Caenorhabditis elegans: one gene and its partner. The protein of the gene in region 2 interacts with the protein of the main gene of each other region in a biochemical or structural test. Each region holds a gene or a part of one and is shown on either strand. Other genes may lie near its edges.

The links.
Region 1: of the proteins of mdf-1 (region 2) and akt-1, one has a biochemical effect on the other in vitro, tested with the Caenorhabditis elegans proteins (one study listed by BioGRID).

Annotation. Positions count from the first base shown.
Region 1 is NC_003283.11:10,246,884-10,253,521, reverse strand, and holds akt-1 (Serine/threonine-protein kinase akt-1), read right to left. Parts: upstream 4,618-6,638; 5' UTR 4,567-4,617; coding exon 4,463-4,566; intron 3,668-4,462; coding exon 3,559-3,667; intron 3,485-3,558; coding exon 3,296-3,484; intron 3,251-3,295; coding exon 3,089-3,250; intron 3,044-3,088; coding exon 2,846-3,043; intron 2,682-2,845; coding exon of another isoform or gene 2,490-2,681; intron 2,196-2,489; coding exon 1,989-2,195; intron 1,846-1,988; coding exon 1,717-1,845; intron 1,670-1,716; coding exon 1,307-1,669; intron 1,251-1,306; coding exon 1,071-1,250; 3' UTR 677-1,070; downstream 1-676. Other genes in the region: rop-1 (RNA-binding protein RO60), read left to right, coding at 1-253, 310-606. UniProt on the Caenorhabditis elegans protein: Acts downstream of PI3 kinase age-1 and kinase pdk-1 in the daf-2/insulin receptor-like transduction pathway.
Region 2 is NC_003283.11:9,541,206-9,546,060, forward strand, and holds mdf-1 (uncharacterized protein), read right to left. Parts: upstream 3,022-4,855; 5' UTR 3,020-3,021; coding exon 2,815-3,019; intron 2,765-2,814; coding exon 2,204-2,764; intron 2,149-2,203; coding exon 1,880-2,148; intron 1,831-1,879; coding exon 956-1,830; intron 870-955; coding exon 740-869; 3' UTR 577-739; downstream 1-576. Other genes in the region: C50F4.16 (Uridine diphosphate glucose pyrophosphatase NUDT14), read right to left, coding at 1-157, 206-401; his-35 (Histone H2A), read right to left, coding at 3,563-3,796, 3,929-4,078; his-41 (putative histone H2B 3), read left to right, coding at 4,374-4,508, 4,723-4,855.

The DNA of each region.
Region 1 (6,638 bases), 710 kb from region 2:
CTACAAGGCATTCGTGAATGCACCACCAACTGGAAAACGATACTGCTTGGCTCTCGATGTTTCTGGTAGCATGACCTCTCGTGTCAGTTCGTCACCACTCTCATGCCGTGAAGCTGCTACCGGAATGTCTTTGATCAACCTTCACAATGAAGCCGAAGTTAGATGTGTCGCCTTCTGTGATAAGCTCACTGAGCTTCCGTTTACTAAGGATTGGAAGATCGGACAAGTTAATGACTACGTTAACAACCTTGATGTAAGTTTCATAATGATTTTAATATTGAATTTAATATTAAATTATTGAATTTTCAGTTCGGCAGAACAGATTGTGGCCTTCCAATGACTTGGGCAACAGAAAATAATCTCAAGTTTGATGTCTTCATTATCTACACCGACAACGATACCTGGGCTGGAGAGATTCATCCATTCGAAGCCATCAAAAAGTATCGTGAAGCTTCTGGTATTCATGACGCGAAGGTCATTGTGATGGCAATGCAGGCATATGACTACTCGATTGCCGATCCATCTGATGCTGGTATGCTCGACATTACCGGATTCGATTCGGCTGTACCACAGATTGTTCACGAGTTTGTTACTGGAAAGATCTAATTTATAGTACTGATCTGTTATTTATTTCGCATGTTTCTTTGTTCATATTTTGTCATTCCATAATAAAAATACGAGGATAAAATTCTTTCATTTGGATTGTTGGATATGATATAGGAACATAGTACATCCACGAATGATGGCGCTATTTGGTTTTCACAACCGTAGCTTGTGAGTAATATTACAAAACGATGATGGAATTTTGAAATGGAAAGAACTACGGTCTCAGGTGAATAAAAAGGATAGTATACAAAGGGAAGGAGGCAGAACAGGAAGAGATGAAAACAAAGAGATTTCTCATTTTAATTCGATATTTACTGAGAATAGATCAAAATATAGTCACTGTAACGACTAAATATTTGTTTAAAAAAGGATATCTGAATGTCAGACAAAGGGGTCAGTTTTCTACAGTCTGCAAAACAGGCTAAAATCGCAATTAATTAAATTCAAGCCATTGTGGTGTCAAATTATCCCATATCATAATCTTCGTTGTCTTCACTTGCTTCATGAATTCGATTGATACTTCCCATAACATTGTGGAATGAGAATTGTGTGAAGTTTGATTGCATTTCTTCTTGCTCATCGACTGTAGCAAGGGCTCCGCTTCTACTAGGCGGTGTCAGTTGAACTGGTTGAGATGTGAATTCCTAAAATAAAATCTTTGTTTCTAGTGAAAAAATTTAAAATGTATTAGTCAACTCACATTATCAAAGTAACTAGTATCAGTTTCTGACTGCACATTTGGCTTATATGGTGGCTCGATTTCTTTTCTGTACGTTGCTTCCCAATCGACAGTACGGAAAAAGTCTGCTCTACAAATCTCCAATGCATCTTCGGGTCCACCACCCAATCGCTGAGTTGGATCTTTGACAAGAAGTCCGGTGAGCAAAGTTCTAGCTTCTTGACTCAACTTGCTTGGGAACCTTAGATCACCAGCCATGATAAGTTCGAATAGTTTATTATGATCCTTCGAATAAAATGGAAGCCTTCCACACATCATCTCGTACATCACAACTCCAACTCCCCACCAATCAACACAACGTCCGTAGTCATGATCATCAAGAACCTGCAATTAAAACATTTAAATGTGAGAAGTGAGTGAGATTTTTTTACCTCTGGTGCAAGATACTCCGGAGTTCCACAGAAAGTACTTGTTTTGTCACCAAAACTGATTTCTTCTTTACATAATCCAAAATCCGCAATTTTAATATGTCCATCTTTGTCAAGAAGCAAATTTTCAAGCTTAAAAAATATAATTTAACTTGTATACAGACTTGGGGAAAATCCGAATGGCGAGCCGATAGTTTTCTTAGTTTTTACATGTTCTACAACTATCCGCTATGTGACTACTGTATTCTACTTCTATAAATAAACATTTTTCTAACCTTCAAATCTCGATAAACAATGCTATTTGCATGAAGATATCCGAGAGCAAGGACGATCTCAGAGCCATAGAAACGGGCTCGAGGTTCTGAGAAACCCTCTTTGTTCATCTGCACTTCTCGATTTAGATGATAATAGAGATCACCGCCAATGGCAAACTCCATTACGAAACACAGACGATCGTTTGTTTGAAACGAGTATTTCAGTTCCTGCAGTAATACAGAAATAAAGCGTGGAAAGAGAATAAAAACTATAGGGTTGCGAACTAAGAAGATAAATTAGTGAATCGGAAAAGAAGCGTTACCATAAGAAGAAAAAAAAGAAGCATGACATAAACTGAGACATTACTACTTACAATGTAAAATAAATAAGTTGATAGCATAACGTTCTAAGTGTTTGAATCTTGCTATCCTACGTAAAATTCAACTGCGGATAGTTGTAAAACATTTTTGAAACAAAATAATCTATGTTCGGCTCGTCATTCAGATTCTTCATCGTCGAACCTTCATATCACGGTAGACAATATCGCATCGGTGAAGGTATCCGAGAGCAAGAACGATCTCGGCTCCGTAGAATCGGGCTCTTGGTTCACTAAATGTTCCACATTTACGTACATGCGTAAAAAGTTCTCCACCATTCGCAAACTGCATCACAAAACAAAGATAGTGTTGCTCTTGGAAACTATATTTCAGTTCCTGAAAATACGACCACAAACACTATGGGAAAACAATAAAAATTACGACAATAATTGTACTCTCAGGGGTAGAAGATTATAGGAGAAGGACGTGCTGGGGTTAAAATTTAAACAAAAGTGAGTGAACTGAATCAATAAATAAAAATAGTTTTATAAAAAACATACCGTAAGGAACGGATGCTTGCATCTTTGAAGAACTCGATTTTCTGTCAAAGTGTGAGCAACTTCTTCGCGAGCAATGATTACATCTTTTTTGAGAATTTTGATGGCATAAAGCTTTTGAGTACGCTTTTCCTTGCACAAGATAACTTTTCCGAATGTTCCTTTACCGAGCACTTTGAGAAAATCGAAATCTTCCATTGTCTGTAATTTTTTTTGCAAAGGTTTTTATCAGATAGGTTTTCTTACGATTTTGTCTCTTTTAGCAGCTTCGCTGGTGTCAGCAATACTAATCATAGACGCTCTGAAGTCAATTGAACAATTATCACCGTGTCCCGAAGATGGTTGACCCATAATTGCATGCGCTGCACCAGCAAATTCACTGTCTTCATCAATTTTTGGCTGCTGATTCTAAAAGAATTTTTCAAAAAAGCTGGATCAAGGTGTAATTTTTACGGTTTCCATTAATTCCTCTTGTGGATTTGCATTTGTGCCTTTGTATTTTTTTGAAATGCTCTCAATAGCATGAATCCAACGCTGACGAACTTCTGCCGACTCCGCATAGAATGTTCGCTCAATGACAGTTGTCCACTGAAGGCATCTTACCATGAACATGTTAGGTCGTGGTTTTTCGAATAACATTGTCTGAAAATAAAATATTGCAAAAGTAGATGATTTTGCAGAATGATGTTTAGAAAAATAAGCTCATCTCTACTTACCGCTGCATCCTTGATCATAAAATCATTCAATGGCTCAGGAAACGGTTGTCCTTCCTTAGGCTTTGCTCGAAATCCAAGTAAGGCTCCATCATTGAATATCATGAAGTATCTGAAATTATTCTACGTCATTAACTTTCAATCTTTTATCATCTTTGTTTTTTTTGTTATGTCACTCTGACGAGTTTCTTTTTAAAATGTTTTCAGTCACTCTCAACTTCCGCACTCACTCATTCTCTCTTTTTTCAATTTGATTATTTTTCGCATCGCTCACTCGCCGTTCACATGTGTTTATTATTTTGGAACATTAAATGAGAAGGGTGACATACTTATGGATAGAAGACATGCACACTCAAAAACAAAAAAACCATCCAAAAATACTGCACAAAATCGTGTTTTTCATTTTTTGAGTTTTCTGTAATCACAACAGTTTCACTTCCGTGTTGCTATTATTCAATTTTTCAATGTACTGTCTGTTAGGAAAATGATATACGTTTTTAGCAATCGTGAATATTTCATAGATATCTTTAATTTTCGGTTAATTTCAGTCGTTTGAAAATAATTATATTCTGAAGCGAATAGTTGTACTATGTAGCGTAGCAAACATAGAATCATCTGCTCTACCAGGAAGTCACATCATTCCCCCTTCATAAAAACGTTTATGAAGATTTTTCAGCCGGAAAAGCATGATAAGAGCGAGTGCGCGGCAAAAACAAATCAGTTGACGTATATGATGAAGCGGATATATGAATTTATGTAGAAAACAAAAATAAAAAGATTAACGAGAACAAGACTCATCGGAGTTTTCAAGATAAATTTTGATGTGAAATCATTAACTAACTTTTTCGAGCATAAAAATTATCGAATCAGTGGTAATATATGATCAGTACCGATAGAAAAATCAAACCTTGGTCTCCAGTTTCGAATGTGCTCTCCTTTCTTGTGAAGCCATCCCTCAATGACAACATCTTCTTGTCTTCGAGACTTCGTTGACAAGCTTGTCATCGACATTCTTTCACCGGCGCCGTCGTAAACCTTTCGGGAGAAGTAACGTCTTCGACTGAAAATTAGAATATTTTTTGATCGAGATTCATTATGTTTTTAAGAAAATCAGTTTTAACACTTTTAATTCGAAAATGAAGGAAAACATAAAAAAAAAGAAAAGCGAAAAAACACACGAGAGAGTTTTGTGACAAACAAAGCAGAGGGACGGAAATTGACAGAATTTGAAGAGAGAGACATAGGAGTTTAGAGAAAAAAGAGGTGGTGACCCTATTTCAGCGGAAACAAGAACACGAAAACATTTTCAGACACTGCCCAGCAACAACATCATGAGTAACGCTGCTGCTTCAGAATATCGTTTTCTGAGTGTTCGTCTGTGGTTTTTTGTTTTCCAACAAGGAAGAGATAGGAGAAGCAGAAATAACGGGAACGGACAACCAGTGGAAAATAAGAAAGAAAATATCGGTTTTCTGGAATTGCCCGCTTGGAAAACAAGATTATTTCTACGATAACACCATGCCACTGATCATAAATTTCAAGTTTTTGATCTCTGGCATTTTATACACATCGATACTGTATAACATGCAAACAGAAAGTTTACCTGTGATGTACGAGCACTTTTGTTATCGAAAAATCAACAAAACAACGTGAAATAGAATAACAAATTAACGGCAAACAATTTTTGAATAGGGATACTATGAGAGCCGAAGTATACAAGCGAAAAAAGACCATATTGGTTGAAGTTGATAAATTTTCAATAGTCTGAGAACCATTTTACGGCTGTATAAATATACAAAAACGACTTATTTTTAATTATTGGTTTTTAACTCAACCTTATTAGGCATTCAATTTACGGAAATCATGTTAATTATTATTTCTCTAGAATTTCTCTTGAATTATAAGCCACTTTAGAAACCCTATAAACGAAAAAAAATTAATCGTGAGAAAACATTAAGAGACGGAGAATGAGAAAGGAAGAGATGAACCACGCGGATTATCATCACGTAAAAACAAGAGGAGAGGTTTTGATACACTTTTCGCAGTTAGTGATTAGGCCACTGCCTCTTGTCTGAGCTTTCGAAGAGAAACAGATTATTATGCACCACGACTGGCATACGAACATACAAAAAAGCGGGGTGATTACGCCATGGGAGAAGGAGCGGAACTGGAGCACATACGTGGAAAGACGCAGACGGAACGTGCCTAAATTTAATCGATCGGAACGATATATTAGAGACATAATAATAACGAATTAACTGTTAAATTGGGAATATATTTGAAAAATAGACACTTTTTCAGATTTTTTTTCAGTAACAAAATTAGAAAATCTTCGAATGTGGTTTCAATGCCATGATTTTTTGATTAAGTGAACGCGAGAAAAACCGGAAAATAAGAAGGAAAAGCAACAAACAGAGGCGCCGATAGGGTTAGACCGGGTCTTGAACTGACGGTCTTGAGACGAATACAAACAACTTGATGAAGGAAAAAGAGAAAGTATGTGGGTTGTTGATGAAATCTCCAAAAAAAAAAAAAAATAGAAAACAAAGTTTTTCTATCTAATTAATTTTTGAAAGCATTGAAAAGCTTTTTTAAACGTTTTTTTTTAAACAGGAACGTTCGAAAACGAAAAAAAAAACGGTTGTGTTGCCAGACTCCGGTTGAGTTAGATATCGGGCACGAATATCGGTGTTGCCAGTAGTATACAGCAGTACGGAAAAGTGCACGTTTCGATCAAAGGCCGCGCGTGCTTTGCTTCGCGGAATGGATGATCGGTGACGCCGGACGGAGAGAGGGAACAGGCGCGGCGTCGAGCCGCAGACAGAGCGAGATAGTACATGCTAGAGTTGTTTACATCCCAAAACGAAAACGAAGAGGCTTCGCGACAATTGCAAAAAATGAATTGTCCCTGCTTTTTATGAGGTGAATATTATTGGAAAAAATTTAAGGGGAGAACACTAATTTACATCTGAATGAAACAACAAAGAAATATGAATTTTAAGAGTATTTTAGGAGTGGGAGTGATGAAAGCTTATTATATTCTGAAAATAAAAATAAACTCCCACGCGCGCGAGTTCCAAAAT
Region 2 (4,855 bases):
GATGCAATTTCTCTAGGAGATAATCCTTCCTTGTCAATTAGTCCAGCACAAAGTTCAATGGTGTAGCCAGTTTCAGAATCATAGCTGCTCCAGTCAATTTTATCAAATTCTTTACCGTGATTCTCCGGCGAATTTGAAATTGATGCGGTGAAGATTGCTAAAAAACAACTTAACGCTCACATTTCAATAGAATAAAATTGGAAACCTGGTCGAAATTGACGAACTAGAAGAAATTGCTCTAAATCTCTATGAAATAGAAGAATGGATACACTGCTCATTTTTTGATTGAATTCACTAACACGTGAATTTCCATCCAATGTGTAAGACATCTCCATTCCTTTCTGATATTTTGATACAAAATCAGTCACAAAAGAGACATCACTAATTTTTGACGCTGTCATCTGAAAATATATTTTCTTATATCATTTAATTGCGGTATCATTCAAACTCGTTTTAGAAAAATACAGGATGTTCAAAAACCAATTTTCCTATTTTCATAATGGTATTTCTCCTATATACGAGCAGATAAACTTTAGATTGTACGAAACAATATACCATAGTAAACATTGAATTGGAAAGAAAATATAACGTTCATTGTGTGATTAATTTTGATCACTACACGTTTTAGATTAAAAAATAAATAAATAAAATGGAATGAAACATCAAATATTCAGGTAACAGTGTATTTAACAGCTTCTCCTTTGAAGAAAAATAATTGAGATCTAGATAGCTCAATGATTTAGTCCTCGTGTAAGACACTGAATGTATGTGTTCTCTCATGCATCGTCTCGTCAAAATCTCGATCCTGTTCCAGCTGAAGAGTCATTGCTGCTAAGAAAGCCGGAATCGAATTTCGGTCGCCAATGTACCTGAAAAAACATATTTTAAGAAGATGCCTCACAACAACGGGGAGTATTTATACTTCTAATAGTAAGTAACCAGAAAATTAACAAACTTTTTCATAAGTGGCTCCCACTTTCGAAGCATTTCAGTAGTTGATTCACAGCTGACATCAAGCATATCGATGCGAGGAGTTCCATAGAAATACTTAAACACGAACTGCTGAGCGGAACCACCTTCATATTCGCTTTGTACAGTGCATATTCCTTCGTCTGCATCTTTCAGTTTGATTTGGAGACCGGTCAGAGCAATACAAACTTGCCGGAACTTCGACGAGAGTTCCTTATGAAGATTGTAACTACTTTCGAGTACTTTTTTCTCACTTTCGCAGTCGTAAAGACGCTTCTCCAATTCAGCAAACTCTTGCTCTCTCCATTGATCACCAGCTGGAGCATCTGTCAACTTTCTTTTCCTACTTTCAGACGCTTGGAATTCATTGTGAGCATCTTGGAGTGGATTAGAAGCCATATGGAAAATCTGTGTACTATTTCCGGCATCGGTTGGAGCAGGTAAAGATGCCGGTTCTGAAGCTGGGACAGTTAAAGTCATGCTGAGAACTTCATCGAGCTGAGATTGAGATTCTTCCAACTGTTTCTTGACCTTCTCCAATTCATTGTTGCTCAACTCTAACTGTTCAGAGAGCCGGCTTTTCTCATTTTCAAGGTCTTGGCTTCTGACTCTCTCGCTCGAAAAAGCATCCTCAAGTCGTTCGTTGCGACGAGCACAGTCTGTGCTTTCTCGCATAACTTTCGTCATTCTGGAAGTAGCTGCTTCAAAATCTTTTTCGAGCTGATTGTTCTTCGTAATGAGCTGAGTGATTCTGTCAATGAGCTGCAGTTGCTTAGCGGAATTGTCTGAACTCGAAGGAATTTTCTCGTCTATATTGAACAAGTTCCCTGCTTGGCCAATCCGAATAGCTTCAATCTCACTCTAAAATAAATTAAACGTGAAATTAGTTTAACAATAATTATTCACTCACAAATGTGCTGTCCAACTGCTTATGGAGAGCTTTCTTCTCAAACTCTAAAGTACGATTACGTTCTTCGAAAATCATCGACCTTTCAGCACGCCCACTCGAGACATTCAAACGATCTTTGAGAACACTGTTTTCCAGTAGTAATCGCTGAATTTTCTCATCTTTCTCGTAATCAATAAGTGATCGATTGGCAATGCAGCCATCAGTCATCATTGTTTGATCTTCTGGCATTATGGTGTTATTTGAATCCTCGAGAAGTGTGAAATTGGATTCTGAAAATACGAATATATTTGCCTGCAAACAAAAGTTTGAAAATTCCGGACTTACGAGGTAGAGTAAAGTTAGCAGCCGATTGATCAGCACGAGCGATTTCTCTTTCCGTTTCAGGAGATGGTGGTCTACGGGTAGCAAATGAAACACCTTCATATTCTAGCAGACTTCCTGAACCAAGTTCTTCTACTGTTTCATCATCATAATCGAATTGTTCAAGAGCCCTGTACATCTGTCTTGGAACTGCATTCAATCGTGTAACTTCTTCGTCGTTTTCAAACTTTCCGTCGTTGTCTATGTACAATTTCACAGATTCCAGCTGAGTATTCGCCATTGAGTACCAAGTGTAGTATTTTTTGCCGAATGCTGTCCAAATATCAACGTTTCGATTACACTCTGCGATGGTGTCATCTCGTTCTTGCTTCAGAAGTTCGACTTGCTCTTGCAGCTCCAACATTTTCTCACGATTCGTCTCCAGATCAATGGTTTTTTCAGCCAACTTCGCTTGATTCGTTTGCATCATTTGTTTCATACGTTCGTGATCTTCACGGAGTGTTACCAATTGACGCTGTGCCGACTCTTTTTCTTTTTTTGCACTTGCCAATTCGATTGGAGCCACTAAATAAAATATTTTAAACATTTTTAATAAATGGATTAAGTTAATTTACCAGGTGAGAGTGTCATATCGAAATTGATTTTTCTGGCCTCCACCGGCGCATGTCGACGAAATGTTGCCTGCTTCAGCTTTTTTTCTGTCTCTGCTTTCAACGGAAACTCTCTTTTGAACTGTTTTTTGATTTCTTCAGCGAACAACATTGTAGCTTCCGACTCTTCATATTCGTCTTCATCGACAATGTCTTCATCGTAATTCATGTCTGAAAAAAATCAGTTACATAATGTATTACAGTGAGCGATTCGAATTTTGAGATAGAGATTAATAATATGTTTAATGCAATCAAGGGAAGTCAAACAAATCCATTCGCACAAAAACAGTTTATCGAATGTCACCAAACAAACTGCGAAGAAATCTTAAAAATAACGTCTTCCCGCCCACTTGCAAGGGCGCGGCATTATGCAATGCTGCCGCACACTTTTCCCAGCAATTCTTCAGCCTCATTTTTTATTATTATTTGGTCATTCGGAAACATGTTCGGACACAAGAACATGCAAAAATAGGAAAATATGATCTTGCGAATAGTTTTTTTTTCAAAAATCCGAATTTTGGGAAGTTTCTTACCTGGAAAAATTGTATTTAAAACAAATTCTTATTTTCATTTTAAAAAATAATTTACTGATAACTGCAAAGTATATGAATTTATTTCATTTACAATTCAGCCGAGTAAACAATACATTCAGATGACATATAAATTAACGGGGCGGAGTATCTTTAGTTGCAATATTCATCTGTGACACTGCTTATTCTTTGTCTCCTGCAGTCTTCTTTGGGAGAAGCACGGCTTGGATGTTTGGAAGAACTCCTCCTTGGGCGATGGTGACTCCAGCCAACAGTTTGTTCAATTCCTCGTCATTACGGACAGCGAGTTGGAGATGTCTTGGTGCAATACGGGTTTTCTTGTTGTCACGGGCAGCGTTTCCAGCCAACTCGAGAACTTCGGCGGCGAGGTACTCCAGAACTGCTGCGAGGTACACCTGGAACATTATGTTTTTAAAAAGTACAAGAGCAAAAGTGATATAATTTGGAAAATGCTAGCAAGTTCAGGTTTGAACGATTTTTTAATCTAGGAAATGCACAAAACACAGCAGCTCTAAAATTCTACATACCGGTGCTCCTGCTCCAACACGTTGTGCGTAGTTTCCTTTACGGAGAATACGATGAAGACGACCAACTGGGAATTGAAGTCCAGCTCTCGACGAACGGGACTTGGCCTTTCCACCGGTCTTAGCTTTTCCTCCCTTTCCACGTCCGGACATCTTTGCTGAAATTAGGTTGAATAACAATGAACTAGAAGTCTAGATGAGCAAATTGGAGGTGAAAGAGAAACAGAAAAGTGGTCTAAGCCGACGAAAATCGATGCAAAATACGCATGCGCACACGCGCCCGCCTCTCTATTTAACTATTTCTCTCGGTGTGGGCGGAGTCTAGTTCCGCGGCAGCGAGAGGTGGGGCCACCGCTGGCGAGTATAAAAGCGCTTCGCAGCGCTCATAGACAACACTCGCCAAACACATCGATTCGTTTCGCATTTTCGTTTCGTGTCTCATTCGATCATGGCCCCACCAAAACCATCAGCTAAAGGAGCCAAAAAGGCTGCTAAGACCGTCAGCAAGCCAAAAGACGGAAAGAAAAGAAAGCATGCTCGTAAGGAATCCTACTCGGTCTACATCTACCGTGTTTTAAAGCAGGTGAGAATATATTCAAATCGAATAAGTTATGATAAAAAAATGTTTTAGCCATTAGCATGTTGTATGTTAAAACTACGTACCACTTAGTACGAACTGCAACGATATAATACCGGTATTTAAAAATCATTTAAATTAGTCTTGGGGGATCATAGAAATCAAAATAATATTAAGTAGTTATTCTGTCAAATCAAAAATATTATTAAATAATTTGCAGGTTCACCCAGACACCGGTGTGTCATCCAAGGCTATGTCGATCATGAATTCGTTTGTCAACGATGTCTTCGAGAGAATTGCTTCGGAAGCATCTCGTCTGGCCCACTACAACAAGAGATCCACCATCTCTTCTC